Yarrowia lipolytica: one gene and its partners. The protein of the gene in region 3 binds, or shares a complex with, the protein of the main gene of each other region. Links are inferred from orthologs where the notes say so. Each region holds a gene or a part of one and is shown on either strand. Other genes may lie near its edges. The genes, in order: YALI1_D31568g, YALI1_A05473g, YALI1_E31248g and YALI1_C26580g.

Evidence for each region.
Region 1: the proteins of YALI1_E31248g (region 3) and YALI1_D31568g are in contact, whole or in part, in a cryo-EM structure (PDB 6S2F), measured with the Saccharomyces cerevisiae proteins. The link is inferred for Yarrowia lipolytica from reciprocal best matches to the Saccharomyces cerevisiae genes POL2 and CTF18. Residues at the interface, in NP_014137.1 of Saccharomyces cerevisiae: Glu333, Asp334, Phe335, Glu336, Tyr337, Thr338, Asn450, Ile452, Gln468, Glu472, Val475, Glu1038, Asp1039, Glu1040; in NP_013795.1 of Saccharomyces cerevisiae: Lys717, Trp719, Val720, Lys721, Gly725, Phe726, Ser727, Asn728, Ala729, Val730, Arg731, Lys732, Asn733.
Region 2: the proteins of YALI1_E31248g (region 3) and YALI1_A05473g are in contact, whole or in part, in a cryo-EM structure (PDB 6WJV), measured with the Saccharomyces cerevisiae proteins. The link is inferred for Yarrowia lipolytica from reciprocal best matches to the Saccharomyces cerevisiae genes POL2 and DPB4. Residues at the interface, in NP_014137.1 of Saccharomyces cerevisiae: Val1270, Gly1271, Trp1272, Leu1273, Tyr1275, Lys1277, Ile1278, Trp1280, Lys1281, Ile1282, Ala1284, Arg1287, Glu1302, Met1309, Ile1310, Lys1345, Asn1348, Lys1581, Glu1582, Glu1583, Arg1584, Gly1585, Leu1586, Leu1607; in NP_010406.3 of Saccharomyces cerevisiae: Ser18, Tyr19, Ile20, Lys21, Glu22, Gln23, Glu24, Ile26, Gln29, Asp30, Arg65, Val69, Asn72, His73, Leu76, Phe77, Arg79, Glu80, Val92, Asp93, His101, Ile102, Gly103, Ala106, Pro110, Arg112, Asp113, Asp116, Gln119, Glu123.
Region 4: the proteins of YALI1_E31248g (region 3) and YALI1_C26580g are in contact, whole or in part, in a crystal structure (PDB 5OKI), measured with the Saccharomyces cerevisiae proteins. The link is inferred for Yarrowia lipolytica from reciprocal best matches to the Saccharomyces cerevisiae genes POL2 and DCC1. Residues at the interface, in NP_014137.1 of Saccharomyces cerevisiae: Glu125, Gly126, Gly127, Val285, Phe320, Asp334, Phe346, Thr348, Phe350, Arg361, Glu364, His365, Asp368, Val369; in NP_009913.2 of Saccharomyces cerevisiae: Met356, Lys357, Ser360, Met363, Lys364, Arg367, Arg368, Lys369, Arg370, Gly372, Arg380.

The regions. Positions count from the first base shown.
Region 1 is NC_090773.1:3,153,638-3,158,584, forward strand, and holds YALI1_D31568g (uncharacterized protein), read right to left. Parts: upstream 3,149-4,947; coding exon 536-3,148; downstream 1-535. UniProt on the Saccharomyces cerevisiae protein: Essential for the fidelity of chromosome transmission. Required for the DNA replication block checkpoint.
Region 2 is NC_090770.1:545,706-548,405, reverse strand, and holds YALI1_A05473g (uncharacterized protein), read right to left. Parts: upstream 1,025-2,700; coding exon 533-1,024; downstream 1-532. Other genes in the region: YALI1_A05459g (uncharacterized protein), read left to right, coding at 2,483-2,700. UniProt on the Saccharomyces cerevisiae protein: As accessory component of the DNA polymerase epsilon (DNA polymerase II) participates in chromosomal DNA replication.
Region 3 is NC_090774.1:3,123,118-3,130,893, reverse strand, and holds the start of YALI1_E31248g (uncharacterized protein), read right to left. Parts: upstream 6,028-7,776; coding exon 5,602-6,027; intron 5,417-5,601; coding exon 5,265-5,416; intron 5,175-5,264; coding exon 1-5,174. UniProt on the Saccharomyces cerevisiae protein: Catalytic component of the DNA polymerase epsilon complex which participates in chromosomal DNA replication.
Region 4 is NC_090772.1:2,656,502-2,659,851, forward strand, and holds YALI1_C26580g (uncharacterized protein), read right to left. Parts: upstream 1,578-3,350; coding exon 549-1,577; downstream 1-548. Other genes in the region: YALI1_C26566g (uncharacterized protein), read left to right, coding at 150-226, 276-480; YALI1_C26597g (uncharacterized protein), read right to left, coding at 2,056-3,261. UniProt on the Saccharomyces cerevisiae protein: Component of the RFC-like complex CTF18-RFC which is required for efficient establishment of chromosome cohesion during S-phase and may load or unload POL30/PCNA.

The DNA of each region.
Region 1 (4,947 bases), on a different chromosome or scaffold from region 3:
AGAGTCATAATCCCCTCTTATTGACACAGCATGGTGACCTGAAACCAACTGGCACGCCACTCACCGTTCCGCACATGGTTTCCACCCGTGAAAGCTGTCATGAAACTTCCTGGCTCACCTGGCTCGAATCCAAGCGGCATTGCCCCCGCAGACAGGTCTCCCAGGGTGCATGTACATTTCTGAGTCGATTGTTGTCTACTCTGAACCTCTGACCATAATTCTAGAGTCACCCTGTTGAGATCTTCCGACCCCATATGGCCCAGACTTTGTTCTCCTCTCAGGCCGAGCATTTGGCATTAAGAACTCCATGGGGCGCAACAAAGACTGTCATCAGTTCGCATTGAGGGCGTGTGTAGTTCTACTTCTGGCTCGGACAGTGTGACCATGCCCCAATCAGTCCTAAAGTCACCACATTCCAAAACTCGATCGCAGTCATTCCTGCCAAGCAAAGCCGTGGCTGTCCACAACAGAAGTTTGTCCTACTTGGCCTTGCTACGCGACCATGTACACTGTATACATTTGTATTCATTGTATCTTACTCCATCCACAACTGCTCCCAGGTGAGGTCCCGCCGGACAGCGTTGGAGTAGCCCTCAAAGTACGACACCCACGTGTTCAGCGTGTCTTGTTGCTCCTTGGCCTCGTTGCGGACCACCTGCGACGGCGTGATCTCGACCGTTTCCTTGATAAAGAAGTCCAGCAGGGTGGACGACTTGGATGGCTTTTTTGCCGTTGACGAAGATGGCGGGGGCCCGCCGCGCGTCCTCGGATCCGGGTCTCGTGCCAGATCATGTGCCGCCACGTGTCTCTTGTTGGGTTGCACCTGGGAAAATTCGCCTGGCCGCTTGAGGGTCGGGTCCGGGGTGAGGATCTTGTAAAGGGACTCGAGGAACACGGAGTTTGTGTCCCGGGGCTGGCCATCCGGGGCACGTGACAGGTCGCACACCGGCGGCACAAACACGTACACGTCTTCCCTCTTGGAGGAGATTTCATTGTACACGTTCTCCTTCTTGAGGGACACTCCCAGGGAGGTGAGAGATTCTGCGAGAGACGCCATTTGTTCCGGGGTGACTCCTCTCTGTTGTCGGGTCATAGTGTCCAGGAACATTCCCAGATCATCTAGCAGCGTTTCTTTGTTGAGATACCGCCTTAGTTCGACGGGAATGTTGCTGTAGATGTCGTTGAGACGCAGCTTTTGGGTCTGAGTCTGGTTGGTGAGGGAGTAGTCGGTTTCGACGTTGGTCACGTGGTTTTTGGTGGTGGATCCAAACATCAGCGAGAAGGCCGCGAGCGTATACGGGTGGTAACTGTCGCGGGACCCCAGCGTGTTGGCGAGGTCGTACAGGTGGTACCAGTCATCGAGTTTGGCAATGTTGGTGAGTTGGGTGAGGTTGCCTGCTCCCGAAAGGCACGTGATGTAGGCTGAGAAGGCTCCAAACACAAGTTTATTCCATTCTCCGCATCGCAGCGATCTCTGGCACAAGTTTTCCACGTGGTTAGCCCGGTCTTTGCCCACGGGCACGTGACTGAAGAGTGAACTGACAATGTTGTTCCACAGCGCCGACTTGTCCACCAGATTGGCCGTGTCGGCCTCGGGGGTTCCAAACTGCAGAATGTTGATGGCTTGTCGAATGTCTCCGTCGGTGGAGTTGCAGATGTCTGCCAGGAATCTGTTTTGTTTGGAGGTGAGTTTTTGCAGCTTCATCTCCGTTCGAAACACGTTTTGCACGATTCGCAGCGATTGAGCTGGCGACAGTCGGCCGTAGTTGACGATTCGACAATGCGGCCGGAGTTTGTACAGCAACCCGTGGAGGTTGTTTGCGATGCAGATGATGGGTCGGCTGATGAGGGTGTTGAGTTTGTCTTTGGCGCTGGTCTTTTTATGTCTGTTTTTCCGCTCATGCCATAACTCCTCCTTTTCGTCGCGCTGCACGAGCTTGACCAACTTGTCGATGAAGATTGGGTCCGCTCCGTCAATCTCGTCGAGAATCACGCAGTTAGGACGGTCTTTGGAAGTGACGGAGTGGGTTCTCATGGGACCCAAAACGCCCCGTCGGAACGCTTCGCTGCCACGGTCGTCAGACGCGTTCATCTCCAGCGTGTTGAACCCCAAATTCCGGGCCAAAACCCCACAGGCGGTGGTTTTTCCGGTTCCGGGCTCGCCGTGCACAAGCAGGATCCGCTTCTGGGGGCGGTCACGTGCCTCGCGCTCCTCGTAGACCCCACGTGATCCTGCGTGGACAGCATCTTCGATTCGTCCGCTTTTTTTAAGCCATTTTTCCCGCTGCTTGGCTTTGAATTGCACCGCCTGCGACGGAGTCTGGAAAATGAAGGAGTTCCATTCACTCAGCCAGTACAAAATGTCCTTGTGGCGGTCGGAATGGCCGTTCAGATCCAGCAGCTTTTGCGGCCGCAGTTTTTCCACCCAGAGGTGGCCGTCCCGTGACCCAATTCCAGACACGAGCAGACCCGCACGATGTCTCGAATCGCTGAATGCGTCTGCCGGAATTTTGGACGTATCGCAAGATGCCGTTTTCGGGCGGGTATTTCCGGTATCTCCAGCGGTAGGATTTGGCGTATTGCAAGTTTCGCTGCTGTCGAATTTTTGGCCCACCAGCTTCTGTCTGATGCCGCTCACATCGATTCCGTAGTGGTTCTTCAGCGATTCCTCCTCCTGTTGCATTGTTCGGAGCCGGGTCGTTTTGATGTACTTTTTCGCTCGCGAAAGGGTCATTCCGGAGTAGAGCGTGATGTATCGGGTGGGCGAAGTGCGGTCACGTGGCATATCACGTGACGGAGCGGCGGAGGCGGCAGAAGCTGGCAAGTCTTTGGGTTCGTTGGCTCTCAACATTTCCGCAATGAAGTCATCTTCCTCCGCCGCCGGCGACGGGAAGCGCGTCATGTGATTATCCAGGTCGCACATCTGGGTCACGTGGTTGGTCATGGGATCGCTGGTCGGTTCTACCTCCTCACCTCCCCGCTCCCCCTCCCCCTCATCCTCTTCGGCAGACATGGATAGATCAGAACCTTCGGAAAGCTCCATATCGGACTCGTCACGTGGAAGTTCACGTGACCGCGTTCCAACGCGCTGCAGCTCGTCCAGTGCGCTCCCGGACCCAAACAATCCTCCTCCCCAGTCTAGAGACATGGTGTTCAAAGGTGTGTCGAAGTGTCGAAAAGTGCTTAAAAAGTGCGTAAAAATGTGTTTTGGGCGCTCGGTTGGGTTGTCACGTGTCACGTGAGTGTTTTGTGGCGGTGCAGCAGCGGTTTTGAAGGTGTAGAGGCGTCCTGTAAAAGCGTCCTGTAGAGGTGTATCAGTGGTTGTAATTTGAAACGCGAAATTTCAATTAACGTAGAAGCGCGTTTTAGGTTGATGTTAGGGTTGGTTGGGTTGGGGTTCGTGGATCAGTGGATACAAAATACAAATACTTACAGTGTTACCACAATATGTTACAATAGTGGTTATAAATTTATTTTAAAGAATTCAATATAATAAAAAATTAATTAACATCCACTGAACAGCAACGATTAAGTATGCTCGTGTTATTCACTCACCAAATCACCCCCAAAACGCTTGAAACGTCCTTGGATGCATTTTACTTATTTATATTGTATTTTTATTTTTTATTTTATTTTTTATTTTTTATTAATTTATTAATTATTTATTTTTCCAGAACAAAAAAAAACACAAACAGATGTTCTTGTTTAGGTGCTGTTAATATTCTAACAAAGGTCTCAACAAAAATACCTGCTTGCAATTTTATGACCATCTCCAGAATGAAATTCTGTTGATGCCAAAATAACCACAATTTAGGATCAGTTAGAAACTCATTTATTCTGTATCTTCATGTATCGAAATATATTCTATTCAATTTATGGAACATGGAAATGCGACCTCAAGCCGGTTTTTTGATTTAACAATTCTTAACTATTCACTTGGCAATCCCATCAACTGACAGACTGGAGACAGCAGCCAAACACGGTGGGTGTTTGAGTATAGAAAGCAATTTTTGATAGTATCGATCGGTAAGTTGAGGTCCAGATAATACAGCGGTTCTTGTAAATATCGATATTCGGTATTTTATGGATGTTTTTAAACAGAGAGACGAGGAGATTTCTCATCAAAAGCTCAACATCGTTAACTGTTCTAATTCAGTTACTTGACAGTTTATAGGGAAAAATAAAAGAAGAAAAAAAAACACTGACTCCAGGACGTTCTGTGATGTGGAATTGAGCTTTTTTTTTTTTTTTTTTTTTTTTTTCACGTAATGAATATAACGTGAGTGGAAATTGTCCATTCAAAATAATTCAAACAAAATCGTCTGGAATTGACAGACTTGACGCAACTGACTGACTGAAAAGTCTGTCAGTTTTATACATTTTCACGTCAGACAGACTTATCAATTTCACATAAACCTGTTTATGGCCGTTAAATATATCATTTTACTCGCTATCATCTCCACATTCCAACGGTACCACTAAATAATCTATATCTCTTGGTTCTATGGTGTTGTGACGGAACGGGTTTAAAAACGCACTGGTGAGAAACATACCACCCCAGAAATAACTTCTGGTGCTCTCGTGAACCTACCAAGGTTTCACTGAGTGTCTCAGGGGTGCGAACAGGTACAGTATTCAATACCAGGGTCTGGTACACTGTAGTATAAGATCTGACTGGTCGAATTGCACTGTACAACCACTATAAAGTTGATTTGTTTTTTTTTTTCTTCTCTTCTTACACTCCACTTTATGACAGCTCGGTAAGTGTTGTCAGTGACACAAAAGGAATGTGAGGGCGCAGCGCGTTAGGTGGACTCCGGAAACTCTCTTCTTTTGCTGCTGATTGGAATGCCGTCTACGTGCTACGTGTACTGGGCGGAGACTGCGTAATTACTACATGGACTGTGTGGTATTGACTACATGGAATGCGCAGTGACTAATTTGGCC
Region 2 (2,700 bases), on a different chromosome or scaffold from region 3:
ACAACCCGTCGAGCTCCAAGATTACCAAAAGGCCTTGAGCTGTCGATCTGACCATTACCATTAAGTACAAGCTGCCTTATTTGGTGGAACTCGTCAGCTCGCTCTTGGGATGACAAACAGGCTCGAGTCACCGGAAAGAGACCAGAACATATAGTCTGGTCGTGCTGTACGACGCGAATCAAGACATGCTCATTATTCAATATGGGCAACTGTCCAGATCTTTTACATCGTGGGTTCTGGCAATGACAACGGGGCATCTAAGACACCCCCGCCCCAAGTGCACGGCAGTAGGCTTGCTGTGTATCAAATAAATGTGCATGTATTGATGCCGTTGCGGCATGTATGTAAGTGGTTATTATCGTGCGATAACGTATGTGTCGGTTGTGCTTTTGCGCCAGGTGGAGAGTGTGTTTTGACTGCAATCAGGGCTTTCTGCTTGTGACCTTGACCACACGTAGCTGCGTGTTGAGTATGTTCGCATCTTTCAGTATGGCATCTAAATGTCCTGTTGCCACGTTGTCCTTCTCGTCTTCTACTCATCAGTTCTAATTCTTTTGTTGCCCTCTTCCTCTGTCGCCTCGGTTTCCGACTCTGAGCTGGAAATATGGTCCTGGTCGTCCTGGGCGCGTACAACCTTGTCCTTCTTCCTTTGTGCAACTTCCTGTTCGAACTCGTTGACACTCTGGGTCACACTGGGCACAAACTGAGCCAGATCAACGTCCTTAAGGGCCACGAAAACGTCCTGGGGCGTTATCTTCTTTCGGCCTCCAGCCTCGGCCGACGCGTTTCCGTGGCTCGCCATGTACGACACAAACAGCGTGGCAGCTCGCTGGATGGCCGTCAACGCGTCCTTGGAAATGATGGCGTCATCTGGCAGTGTCTCCTTGGCCAGATTCTTGATGGTTGATTTGGGGTACAGGAGATCGTCGATCGAGTACTTTTGCTTGGCCTGTATCGTGTTACCGGCCGAGTTGACGGGTCGGAAGTCGCCGTCGGCGGTTTTTTTGTGTCCTTTGGGCGGCATTGTGGAAGTGACGGTGTGAGGTGTGGTTGATGGACGAACAGAGATGTTGGCGCATCAGCTGTATCGTGTTGCGTCACGTAATTTAAATTGGCCTGTTTTTGGCGAGTTTATTTGTTTTTTCAGGATTGTTGTGGGAATTGGGGAATAATGGGGGAAAAAAGATGTCCTTGGCACGAGACAAAATAAGCGGTATTAAAACGGGTTATATGATGTATCCAGTAGGAATACAGGAACAATGTACGATACGAGTGCGAGTACGAATGCCGCACTACATAACACATTGTACTTGTACCCTTGTCCAGAAGTGAAGGCAACTACCGATACACAGTATGTACGTACTTTACGATACTTGAATCAACATCTACTTTGAATGTTATATTTTCGATTCGAAAACTACATTGATGAAACACAGATATCTACTCGTATGTACATACTTGACTCAGTGATTGTGTTTTTGTGACTCGATCTGATTTCTTCTCTGTGACTTGATATGATTTCTTCTGATTTTCCGAAAACATTCAAAAAAGTCATCATATAATCACTAGATTCTGTTAAACGAATCAACTGATTAAAAAAAAGTGCACCACTCCTGACCACGATCGCCGACCTCTTCATACTACTTGCCAAATACCCCACGACGCTCATTTCTGGACACCTCCCTTGGACACCTCCCTTTTCCCTTTCCATTGGTTGCTGAAAAAGCCTTACGTAACACCCAGCGTAAGTGTTCGTATTGTCCATCAAAAATTCAAAAACCTTCTAATTATCGTACATAGTTGAACAAGTACACTCCACTACAATCTCTATAACTTGCCCAAAAATGCACGAAACAGACCAATTTTTCAACTCTAGTGTCATCCGCTCCCAGTCTAAGCCCTCTGAAACACATCCCCCTCACCCACTCCTCAAATTGAACCGCATTGTTGGGGGATCCGAAATCTTATTTTGAGTAGTCCTGTTTATCCGAAATTTAGTCGGATGAATATATACACTGTATTTTAAACGAGTTTTTACTCCAACTCGTATTGTATAATATTGTAGTTGTAAAAGAATTCAAGTTCAAATACCATGAAGACGTGTTGATCAATTCAAGCCAATTGACCCTCAATTCCTCTACCACACCCTCCAAACAACCTCTCCAGACAAGTCCCCCTTGTCATATTATTTGCTACTTGTATTGCATGGCACGGCACAGGCTGGATTTCGTGTTTTCATTTGTTCTTTTTTTTTTTTGCCTTCCTCACAATTTAAGCAAATAAAATAGCCTCAAAGTGTGCAAGTCTGGTGACAAGCCACACGTTAACGGATAGTGGCCCTTGATGACCAATCAGACAAGGTGTTCAAATAGCAAGTAACGGGTGAAGTGTGGCCGAGGAGCCGGTGTTTGTGCCATGTGTCGTCTTCATTTCTGCTTAATAAGCACGTTTCTGTAGCTTGCTCTTTTGATTTACCGGAAATATGTGTGGATTCGGCTTTCTGCGGCTTCCTTCTATTCCCGCTCTCGAGAACAATAGGCTTAAGTTGGTGTTTTCAAGAAATGCATATAAGATGACGAAAAAGATGTGTAGAAACTTAACAATGTATTTCATTGTGTTTACCATCGTTTCAATGATTTATTCTTTTTTTTTTCCCCGACGTTTTCCCTATTATTGGGTATTTAATTTCAGTTATATTCC
Region 3 (7,776 bases):
GCAACAAATGAATGTACTCCTGGACCCACTTGGAAAATTCCTGCTGTAGAGTCTCAGGCAAGAAGTTGGCAATGTGCCAATGCATCAACAGAGACTCGCTCTGCTTGGAGGGGTCAACAATGACGTCAGACGAGTAGCCCCCGTAGTTCCACTTGTCCATCCACAGGAAGGTGTCCCAGTAGCGAGTAATGTCGACAGAGACATACTTGAGAATGGGATGGGTTCTGATCTGCCGAACAATGTAGTTGGAGTACGAGTACACCAGCTGAAGCTCCGTCTTCTCTGTCTGCAACACAAGCTTGTGTTGATCAGCGTACACCAACTGAGCCTGGTGCTTTCGACACTCTTGAGCAAGATACAGGAAGGTCTTCTTCGTCAGGTTCTGAGTGTGGTACAGCAACTGGGGGGAGAAAAGACGCGACTCAGGCGCATAAACCCACACTGTGAAGTTGTCCAGCAGATCCTGGGGAGGCCGTTTCTTGTCCCCGTGCTCCCACCACTCCTTGACCACCATTTTGAGGGTTTTGAGGGCGTGGGGGTTGAAGGCGTTGGAGAGAAGCTCGTTGTGAATGTCTCCCTCAGTATCCTGGATCACAGCACTCTGCAACAAGGCGTTGAGCACCAAATGCTCGATTTTGATCTCGAAACAAATGTTGGTGTACAGTCCAGGATTGTTGGCGACAGGCACTTCCGCCTGGTCAGTGAGGGCTCCTCCGGTAGACAGAGCAGCAGACCACCACAAAACGACACTGTTCTGGATGAGCCGACGAGCGTATGATACGTCAATCACGTCCCGGGTATCTTGCACATGACACAGAGGCATCTTGGCATACCGAGCCATCTCGACAAGGTACGAAATGTTGGCTCCATGTGACAAGAACGATGCAATCAGCCGTCGAACCAGATCCCGTTGCCATCCAACAGCAGCAGTAGACGGAGGAACGGGTCTCAGCCGAATACAGGGGATTCTGGCCAGGGCAGCCACCTTTTCATCCACGTTTCTGTCCGGAGAATGGAGTGCAAACACCAGCTGGCCGTTTCGGGAGCCAGACAGTGAGTCACACGCCTTGGACACCTTCTGCAGCATTCGTCGGTGGTTGGAACAGTACTCCACCTCGTACTGCATTGTGTCGGGGAAGGAAAAGACGGTGCAATCGTCCATGTTCTGCTTGTACCGTTCTCCACGTCGCAGACGGGCGTACTCCTTCGAGATGTCAGGTAACTTTTCACTGGAAGACGACTGGTGCACAAACACAAGAGCTGGTGCGTCCCAGGTGGGTGTGATGACAAATATCTCCACGGCAGAAGAAACCACGTGCACAATGTGAGCGTAGGAGAGTCCTGAGTTTTGCAGGTAGGACCGCGAGTCACCTGACTTGAACCATTTGGCCTCAAAGCCATGGGTGAAGCCCTTGGAGAGGATACCAGGAGTGGAGGCATCAAGATGGAATGTGGATCCAAGCTCAATGAGGGCACGTGAATCAGGCGACACGTCGGCCTCGTAGATTTTCGTCACGTGAGGGTCCTTCAGCGGAGACTCCGGGTTAGTCATCTCCGTCTGGTACATGTCTTCAGACATGACTGCTCGGTAGAGGTACTTGGGTTGCTCCTCTTCAGCCACAGCCATGGCATTGGTCACGTCAGTGAACTTATCCCACTTCAGCGGCTCACGAGACCCCACGTACACCTTGCGCGGCACATTGATCTGCACCCGTTGCATCTTGTCTCCGATGATGACGCTGGCCTCCACCTGGCCAGGTTTTTCGGCAGCATGGATGGACACCAGGTGCCAGGCGTCTTGAGCCAGGTGGGCGTTCTTGGACACCCACGAAGAAGCGATGCCATTGTCGGACTCGCCAAAAAGATGGGCTCTTCGGTCTCGCTGAGCCTTCTGATGCTTCCACTTGACCTTGGCGTACTTAATGTAGGCTGCATAGTCGGCGAACGGATCGGGGGCCTTGTGAGGAAGAGAGGGAGTGGACTTGTCCGTTTCCTCAACAGTTTTGCGCACTCGTTTAGACACAACCACTCGGGCAGGCACTCCAGGGGGTCTGGAAGGAGAAGGAGTGGTCCCGATGCTTTCAATGTCGCCCACCTGGATCTCCATGACCTCATCTTCTTCACTGAGAATGGGCTCAGGAGTGGGAAGTTTACCCTTGACAAAATAAGAGCTCAGGGTGCTCTGCTTGATGGGGTTATCTCGTTGCTTGATGATGTCAGAAGCCCATTCGGGGGGATCACAGCCTCGAACGGGGTTCTTGAGACCCAACAGAATGGCAGGAATCACCACAAGCTTGTTGATAGTCGTCGCCAGACGTTCTCGATAGTACATCCAGTCAATGACGTCTCGGGGGTCCGTGGATTCCCATCGAGGGCCCATCCACCGTTTCAAGAACCGCAGCTTTTCGTCCAGAGATTCGGTTTCGAAAACCAGAGTGGGAATAGCTCGATCAGCAGTTGAAGAGTCCTCGTCGGAACCCTTCTTAGCCTCAGGAACAGGCATGGAGTTCTTGGTTCGAACCGCAATGATGTACTTGGTTGACAGCTTGCCTCCCGTGAGAATGGAGTCGCCCATAATCTCCGCTAGACGACGGGCAGTCGTCAGAGCAGTACTCTTCTGAGAGCCGTACTCATGCACAGGCTTGGACATGGACTTGTTCTCACAAACCAGGTCAATGAGCTCTTCGTCGGATAGGTTCTTGCCGCGAGAGTCAATCACTGCCAGCCAAGCTTCAGCCACTCGAGCCTGAGCAGCATAACACTCGACGAGATTGGAGCCCTCCAGAAACGTGTCCCACAGCTGTGACTGAAACTTTTTGATCAACGACAGCTCTCCTCGTCGCTTGACCTCGAAGCCCTTAAGCTCGACAATCTTATTGCGGTCGTCAAAAACCACGTACCGCTTTTTGAGACCCTTACCCTTATCAGTCGACGTAGGCATCATCATGCACTTGTAGGGTCCGTCGAGCTCGAAGAAGATGGAGTTTTCTGAATGAGTGTCGTACTTCCCAGTCTCGGGATTCAGCTTCTGGTACTGGTGGTTGGTAAAGTCTCTGTGCACCAAGTAGTTCATGATAGAACAGGGATACTCAAGCTCGTAGCTGGAACCATCCTTAAACTTGCACTTGAACTTCTCGGGGAAGGTCTTGGGCAGCATACACCAAATACCGTCTGTATCGAGCTCAAGAGGAATACCAAGACCTTCCATTGTCTGACGGGCAATCTTGATGATCTTGGCTCCAGTGTAACAAGTCACACCGGCCATCTCCATGGAGTACCATCGAGAACCCTTTCGCATAACATAACCGTAGAAGGAGTTGAGAATGACTTTGTGGGCCAGCTGCATCGAGTCGTTGGTGATAGCCATCTTCTTGGCCTCCTCTCGAGACGCAGGATCGGAAGCAGAAGCAGCCTCCTTGTTCCACCTTTTCGCCTTTGTCTTGTAGTCGATTCGACGCTGTTTGAACTCTTGCACAACATCGACATAGAAGGGGTTTTCTCGCTGGCAAACAATGGTCTTTTGCACAGTCGTCTCCGAGTCCGTCTTTCGAGCCTTGGTCTTGAGCGAAAAGGCCGCCACTCGCTCCTTGAGCTTGTTAGCCTGCTCCTGACCAGACAATCCAGCCCAGCCCTTTCGTTTCTGGAACTTTTCCCGCTCAGTCATACCTTCATCGTACGAGATCTCGACAGATGAGCCGTTTCCGAAACGACCTCCGGAGTACTCCTCAACCAGACCCTGCTTTAGGTTGTTGACATCTCCCTTTGACACAGGGTAATAGTCGACTCGTCGAGCCCACTCTAGTTCACGTGCGCACGTCTTGTCGGGACGGTTGTAGTCACAAACAGCACAGTCCTTTTCGTCTACCATGGAGTCGGGCTGAAGTCGGTTGGTCGTCATGATGTTGGGGTACATAGACGCGACATCCACGTGGTAAATGAGCGGGTAATCGGATCGCTTGGGGTTGGATTTGAGCTCCTGAAGCTGTTCGATGATCTGGTCTCTTACTTCATCCAAGTTCTCAAAATCAGACGATTTCTTTCCAGCCTCAACAGTGACGCAAAACTCGAGAGTCTCGTCTAAATTGACCAGTAGCTCGTCGATACTGTTAGTATCAATGTCGAAATCGACCATGATGTCGCTTCGAAACACGCCAGCAGCCAAGGACTCCACGTGGCCACCGGTGTACGTCTCGTTATCGACCAGATGACCCTTGTAATGACGCTCAAGAGCAGGTTTGTGCTTGTCGGGAAGAATGATGCGTCCCTCATAAGCCTTGACCATGAGGAGCATCTCGCAAAGAGTACCTGTACCTTTTCGTAGCACTGCATCGGGGTTGAGGGGAATAATGCAACACAGAGAGAAGATGAACGGATGCACATACTTCATGTAGAGATAATAGGTGGCCACAGCATCGGAAACAGAATATTCCGCGAGAATCTGAGGATGGTCTCGTGCATAAGGAGTCATCTTTTCCGGATCGAGCTCCTTGGGATCGTAACTCAGCTTCACCTTTGTCACAGCCTTGAGACCCTGAGAACCCTGAGGCAAGTACGAGTCTCGCTTGACCCAGTTGAGACAGTCCATATGCACACAATAGGAACACTCGTATCTCTCTTCCTCCACCTTTTTCCATCCAATCTCGTCGTAGAGATTCATTCCATGGAAGGCTGTTCGTTTGTCGATGAATGGGAAGTCGAAAAAGTCTCCGTTGTAGGAAGTCATCACCGTGGGACACACGTCTCGAATGTGCTCAAACCACTTTTCCAACACAGCCTTCTCGTTAGGCTCGTTGAAAATGGTGAAATTACCGGGGAATTCGGGCTTGGGAGTGTACTCAAAGTCCTCAATGTCTTCACTCACCATTTCTCGGTTGGTGATGAGGAAACCCTCGCCGTCAATCATGTACGAAATCATCATGATTCTGTCGACGGCTGAGTCGGGGAAACGAAGGGGAGCCTTTTCGGTCTCAATGTCGTATGCCATGACGACTGGATCGGCTCGGTACTCTCGTTCAACCATGTGTTTGAGCACAGCCGTGTCGTTTTCCTTGGTGACCTCGTACCAGTTTCCCACACGAATGTCCAGATCAATGGCCACTCGGGTTTCAAACGGCACATCAAATTCCTTGATGCCAGTGATGGATGATTCTACGTCTGTGCTGGTGTCCACATCGCTGGGTTAATATTGAACATCTTGTTTGAAGACTGACCACGTGACTTCAACACAGTCTTTCTCTTGCCTCTCCCCTCTTTCTCTTACTCACCCTTCAAGCTCATAAATGTTGAGATGCTGCTCTGTCTGCTGTGTCTGTCGGTCGACAATCTTGCTGAGCGTGAAACGTGTCGAGCTCAGATCCTCCGAGTTGTGAAATTCCAATTTCACCGCCTTTCGTTTCTTTCCTGTGAGATGGTTTGTCTGTGTTAGCCAATTGTCACACACGGCTTAATAGCAAGAATTACAGCAGTAAGAATCACAGCAGTAAGAATCACTCAGCAGTAATGGACTCACTGCAATCAGCGAGATGCTGAGAGTTCGTTATCTCTCCCACTCATTGCAATGTCTGCCACTCAACTCATCCAGGGCTGCTTGTTATCACTCACCAAGTTCAAATCTTCCTTTGTAACAATTTCCGTGCTTGCGAGCACCCGCTCAAACATCTTTTCCATGAGATCCTTCACCGCATGCTCAGTATGAGGCTTGCAAATGACAAAAAAGTAGGGCCGGAACACCACCGTCGACTTGAAGTTGCCTCCCTCCTCGTCGTAGAAGTAGTAGTCCACCGCTGCCAGGCCCCGCTCGGCCGTTTCCGACTGTAGCAACGTCTCGTGCATGTTGACCAGCCACCCGACTCGTTTTTCATCGCCAGAGAAGCGAGTAAAACCCATTCGGTCGTCTATGGCATCTCGGCGTTCGACTGCGGCAAACTTTTGACCCAGCTGCTCGATCCGCTCCAGCCTTCGCCGCTCAAACTCGTCACTGCGCTGTTTCACCACATGGGTGTTGTTTCCGTTAAAAGGTCGACCCATGGGTGTTATGTAGTGTGGTGTTGAGATGTAGTTATAGTGGGTCAATATTCAGACGCGTAAAAATATTGGTGTAGCTGTACACCCAACCTTATTCAACCAAGGGGTGTTTTTCTACCGTGCTTTTCACACAGCAATGGAGGAGATTTGAGATAAAGATGGAGCTTGAAAGTGGATATTTTGACACTTAAATAACCATTCAAATCTTTAAAATGCTCAAAAAGTGATCTCAACTACCAGAATGAAGGGGTTGTTTGCGTGGTCTGGAGAAAACACCAACCAAAACTGTAATACAAAAGTACAAGTTCAAGGTAATGTAAGCACACTGAAGTTTCTGCATTTCCTCATGTATATATATATATAATTTGAAGTTGTTCTAGAATGGAAAAATGTACACATAAGAATTTCCGCATGTTTTCGAGGTCGAATGGCCATATATTGTCACCCTCAAACGCCTTGTTTCGTCTTGTAAACCCCCCCTCACTCTATGACACGCTTCTAGTACACAGCTCAAAGTTTCGCGTTGCGCCTGTCCCAATTGGGATAATTAATGGCTCTATGATGCAGTCTGAGATTACTAGAGATATGAGGGGGAAAAATGGGACGCGACTTTAAATTCGTGGAGTTGATTTTACTCATTTTGAATAGTTAAATATCTAGTTAATAGACTAACTCTTAACCTGTGACAACTAACGGTAAGCATAATTAAACCGCCAAAAGTTGCTACGGCCAAGATTACAAAGCTGAGACGGCAATATTTTCCCACTCAAACATTTGCGTCTACTTGTACCTTAAAAAACAGTCATATCCTGTTCTTACACCTCTCCTAATCTTTAATTTTACCCTATTTTTCCAGCATTTTTCGGTGATATTCATTCTCTAGAAGTTTTACGGATGCAATTTCCCGATTGGGTAAGCCCGCACGATGAAGTGTGAAGTGTTTTTTCTCAGCCCAACTCTGCATGCTTTTTGCAAACATGTGATTAGCCACGATAAGCCTTCCTGTTTAGGCATTTGGATGCGGTGTGGGTGAAATGTATGAGCTATAGGGTGAAATTTTGGGACAGCACGTAAGATGGAGGAGTTCTGAGGAGTGGGCGGGGATTAGATGCCTTGTCAGAGGAGATTCGAGTGGTGATGTGGAATTGGGTTGTTTTATGGCCGTATAACAGTTCATATGTACGTTACATTACTTGGGTTTAGTTGAATAATTTACATTTAGTTGAGAATAGTTGGCCATGATTACCATAGTTAAGGGAAGCCGCATATCTCACTTATACTCCGCGGAAGCAGCCAGTGTGTATATCTTTACACATCCGAAGACTATCTCAGTCTGCGCATAGAGATTCCCACTGTGGAAAAGCCACTAACGAGTTTCTGTCGTAACCCTTGTCTGGCCCGATAAGATTGACTAGCTCCAACTCTGTACGATGTTGGATACGTCAATGGATGGTTGAAGTGTGTAGATATGGAGTCAACGTCTTATTCCCGATATCCCCAAGTCTGATATCAACTCCCTGAATGATTCTGTACGTCTAATGGCCTCAAAAAATACAAACATGCCTCTCAATCTTCCCTTCTATATATCTGCCCCTCTCTGAGTCACCATTACCTGTGGTTACTTGTACTATTGACTTTTGACCGGTTCTCGCTTTAGATGTCTTGTGGAAGGCTATTTGGAACTCTGTGTGAGGAGTCTGTCTTGACGAGGTCAGTATAAGAGTATGCTGTTGGCCTCCAGAAAGCCGTTCA
Region 4 (3,350 bases), on a different chromosome or scaffold from region 3:
GTATAAAAACTAGTCATCATCCAGTTTCTTTCAGGGTATCGGGACGAAATCTCTCTCAAGATTTCGGCACAATTGGCCGTAGAGGACGGGCTACGTCCCAGGATACTGGCTCACTTCTTTTGGTAGGCGAGATTCCGTCTAATGCTACCATGCGACTGACCCCTTCTCCTTCAAAGCTGCACATATCTTACAAGGACCAGCGACACTCTGGAGGTTCCCACATTTCGTTCATGGACGGAAACGTCAATGATGACTACAAACTGTTTGCTCTGAAGCACATTGTATTTTCTTAGAATCGTTCCCAATTCAGAGGAGAGCCTCCAGGAGAGGTTTGTATACCATCATGTGGGACGGACTGCGACTTTCAGCAAAAAAAGAAATGAAGCAAAAGTTGCAACGCATGCCAGTCCTTCGAATCGACAGCGTACCCAGTCCCAGAGTTCTCAATTACAGGGTTCTCAGACTGGGGTTACTTATTGACATCTGTACTTGCAATTCAATATAATCCCACTGTGTTTGTTCCTTTTGTGTTCTTTGTCGTCGTTTCTTCACTCTCGACAAACCATCACCTTGCCGCCGATCTTTCTCTTCTTAGCGTACTTGAGCACAAAGTTCTCCGTCTTGGTGCTCTTGTTCATCTTGATGGGTTCAATGAACGGTGTGATTTCGTCCAGTTCCCACTTGTCCTTGATCTGGAACAGTCGAGCAAACCGCTCCTTGGGGTCACGCGGCAAATCACTTTCGCTGAGCTTGTGAATCATAGTCTCACAAAGAGCATAGGAGCCTTTGATGAGGTCCAGGGAGACCATATCCTCGTCAAAGATCATGGGAATCGAGTTTTTCCACATGATCATAAACTGTTCGATCTGCACCGGCTCGCCAAGGGCGTTTTTGCCAATCCAGCTGATGATGTGCGCGAGATCGAGATTGTAGGGCTCAATGGGCGTTGTAGCAAACATCTTCAACACTGCCGTAACTACTGCTGGAGAAGTATCAGACACCACGTCAGATGCACTCACCAGGTTAAGCTGCTGCTTCTGTGATGCTAGCGAGGTCAGAATATCGTCTATTGTCTCCTTGATCAGACTATCAGCCAGCACACATGCCACTCCATCGACTTCCACTCCTCCAATTTGCGCCCAAACCTGGTCGAATTGCACTCCAGACATGCTGCTGCGGTTCCTTAACGAGTCCAGATCGTGCTTGGCGATGCGCGGGTCTCCCATGATACTGTCTCCGTCGTAACAGGGCAGATCAGAGGTGTCCAACTGAGGCGATTCACTCAAAGTGCACTCCAAAATGGGCTGGGTGATGCAAATGCTGGCGAGACCATCGTCACGTGTCTCCACCAGATGAAGGGTGTTGCTTTGGCTCCGTTGCTTGACGTTCCACGTCGTGTTTTTGTTGCACAGAACGAGCCGATCCTTGCCTCTCAGAGTCAGTGAGTAATGTTGCAGTTCCTTGGTTTTTTTGTACTCCTCCTCTTCCTCCCGTAGCTCGCCGATAATCTGCTCGGGCAGCTCGATCAGCCGATAAATGTGTCGCTTGTCGTACTCTTCGTAAAAATTGAGCTTCATGATGGTGGTGTTGAAGAGATGCACACGTTTCAATTAATTTAGACGCGTCGTGCATGAGAAAGGTGGATGGAGGGAGCTGGACAGTGTAAAAGAGACAGTAAAATCGGATAAAATGGATAGCGACGATTTATTTATATTCAAACATGGGAACAAAAATCGAGTAATATCCAATATAGCCAGATGGTATACCAAATATTCTTTAGCGATCAAGACAATAAGCCCATTGCGTTGGCTCGAGTGAGATAAGTGGGATCGACAATACATATACAGCACATGTATGTATAGATGATTGTACTTGTTCTGTATAGACGATTGTACCTCTCTCTGTATCCATACTCGGATACCCCTCCACAAACCGATAACCAGCTCCGATCATGTGATATCTACCCAGTCCCACCTTTGAAGACCACTATCCGCCTCGGGATGGTGTCGATTAGTTACATACTGTAGCAACATTTCAAGAAGTATCAGACCACTGTCATCTCGGCTTGGAGGCAAGGGGAGAGACTGCTAGCGACAAAGCGTTAGCGAATCCATCTCCATGTTGAAATCTGAACCTCTTGCGGAGATGGTTAATGGAAAACTTCCAGATCCCAAGAGAGCCCTTGGACATTCCAACCATGACGAGGTATTCTTCACACGATATCGAGCTGTAGTTTCTGGCCACAAATCCAGTTCCTGGTGCGGAAAAGACTTCTGTCTGCTGGTTGTCCAAGTCAATTAGCCCTATTATAATTCCTGTGGGCTTGTAAACGAGGCAGAACTGTGAATATTCTTCATCCTGATACACCTTGTACGGCTCATTTAGTTGTGGATCGGAGTCCAAGCTATGTAGAGACTTGCACACCCGGAGTCGGTATCGGGTTTGAAAATCAATGTTGAAGAAGGTGTCGTTGTAGTGAACGATACCAGCAGGAGCAGCTTTCCGGGGTCGACACCTCTGAGTATGTACTTTTCCACCTGGGGACACACAAATCACTTCAGAGGTCTTATAATCGCAGGCTCGAGCGTGCAAAAGAACACTTTTTCCGTTGACCTGCAGTCTGAAAGGCAGAGAAAGTCCATCCAAGTTGACAATTCCTCTCGTCTGGGGAATACCAGAGTAGATCAGATTTATAACACTCACACCAGCCAACATCTTTGAAGAATGTCTTGTCTGGATCACAGGTGCTCCTCCAAACGCATATGTGCTTCCGTAGTAACGTCCCATCGTGAGTCCTTTCTTGGGCTTCCCTTGGCCCATTTCGGGATGCTCCGTCAAATCCAAGAGTTTCTCGTCGAAAGAAATCCCGTTGTCGTGGTACTCCCAGGGAAAGATCTCGTCCACCTCTTTGCAGAGACAGTAAAAGTCGCGTGGAAGCGGCTGATCAATGTAGACAGGGCACTTGACCTGATCTGAGAACTCTACCCGCGAATTGTTCAGCTTGTGCGGAGCCTGGCAAGTATCGTCGTTCGATCTGCTGTACTCAATATTGCAGCAATCCCACACAGAGAGAAGACATCCGAGGATGAAAGACCCGGGAATATCGCGGCTGAGTTGCTGACAAGTTTCACGAAGAGCACAAAGATCTCTTGGTGAAACAAGTTCGCAGATTACCACCAGAATATCGTGTGGTAACCGGAGTATCATGGCTATGACAATGGGGAAGAAGAGGAGATAATAATATAGATATTCACTGTGCATATACGTTCAGCCTCAAAGAGAATTTAAGACAGTGGGCTGTAAAACACTGGATACCGAACTGGGCTATCAAAAAGACAGTACAGCAGTGC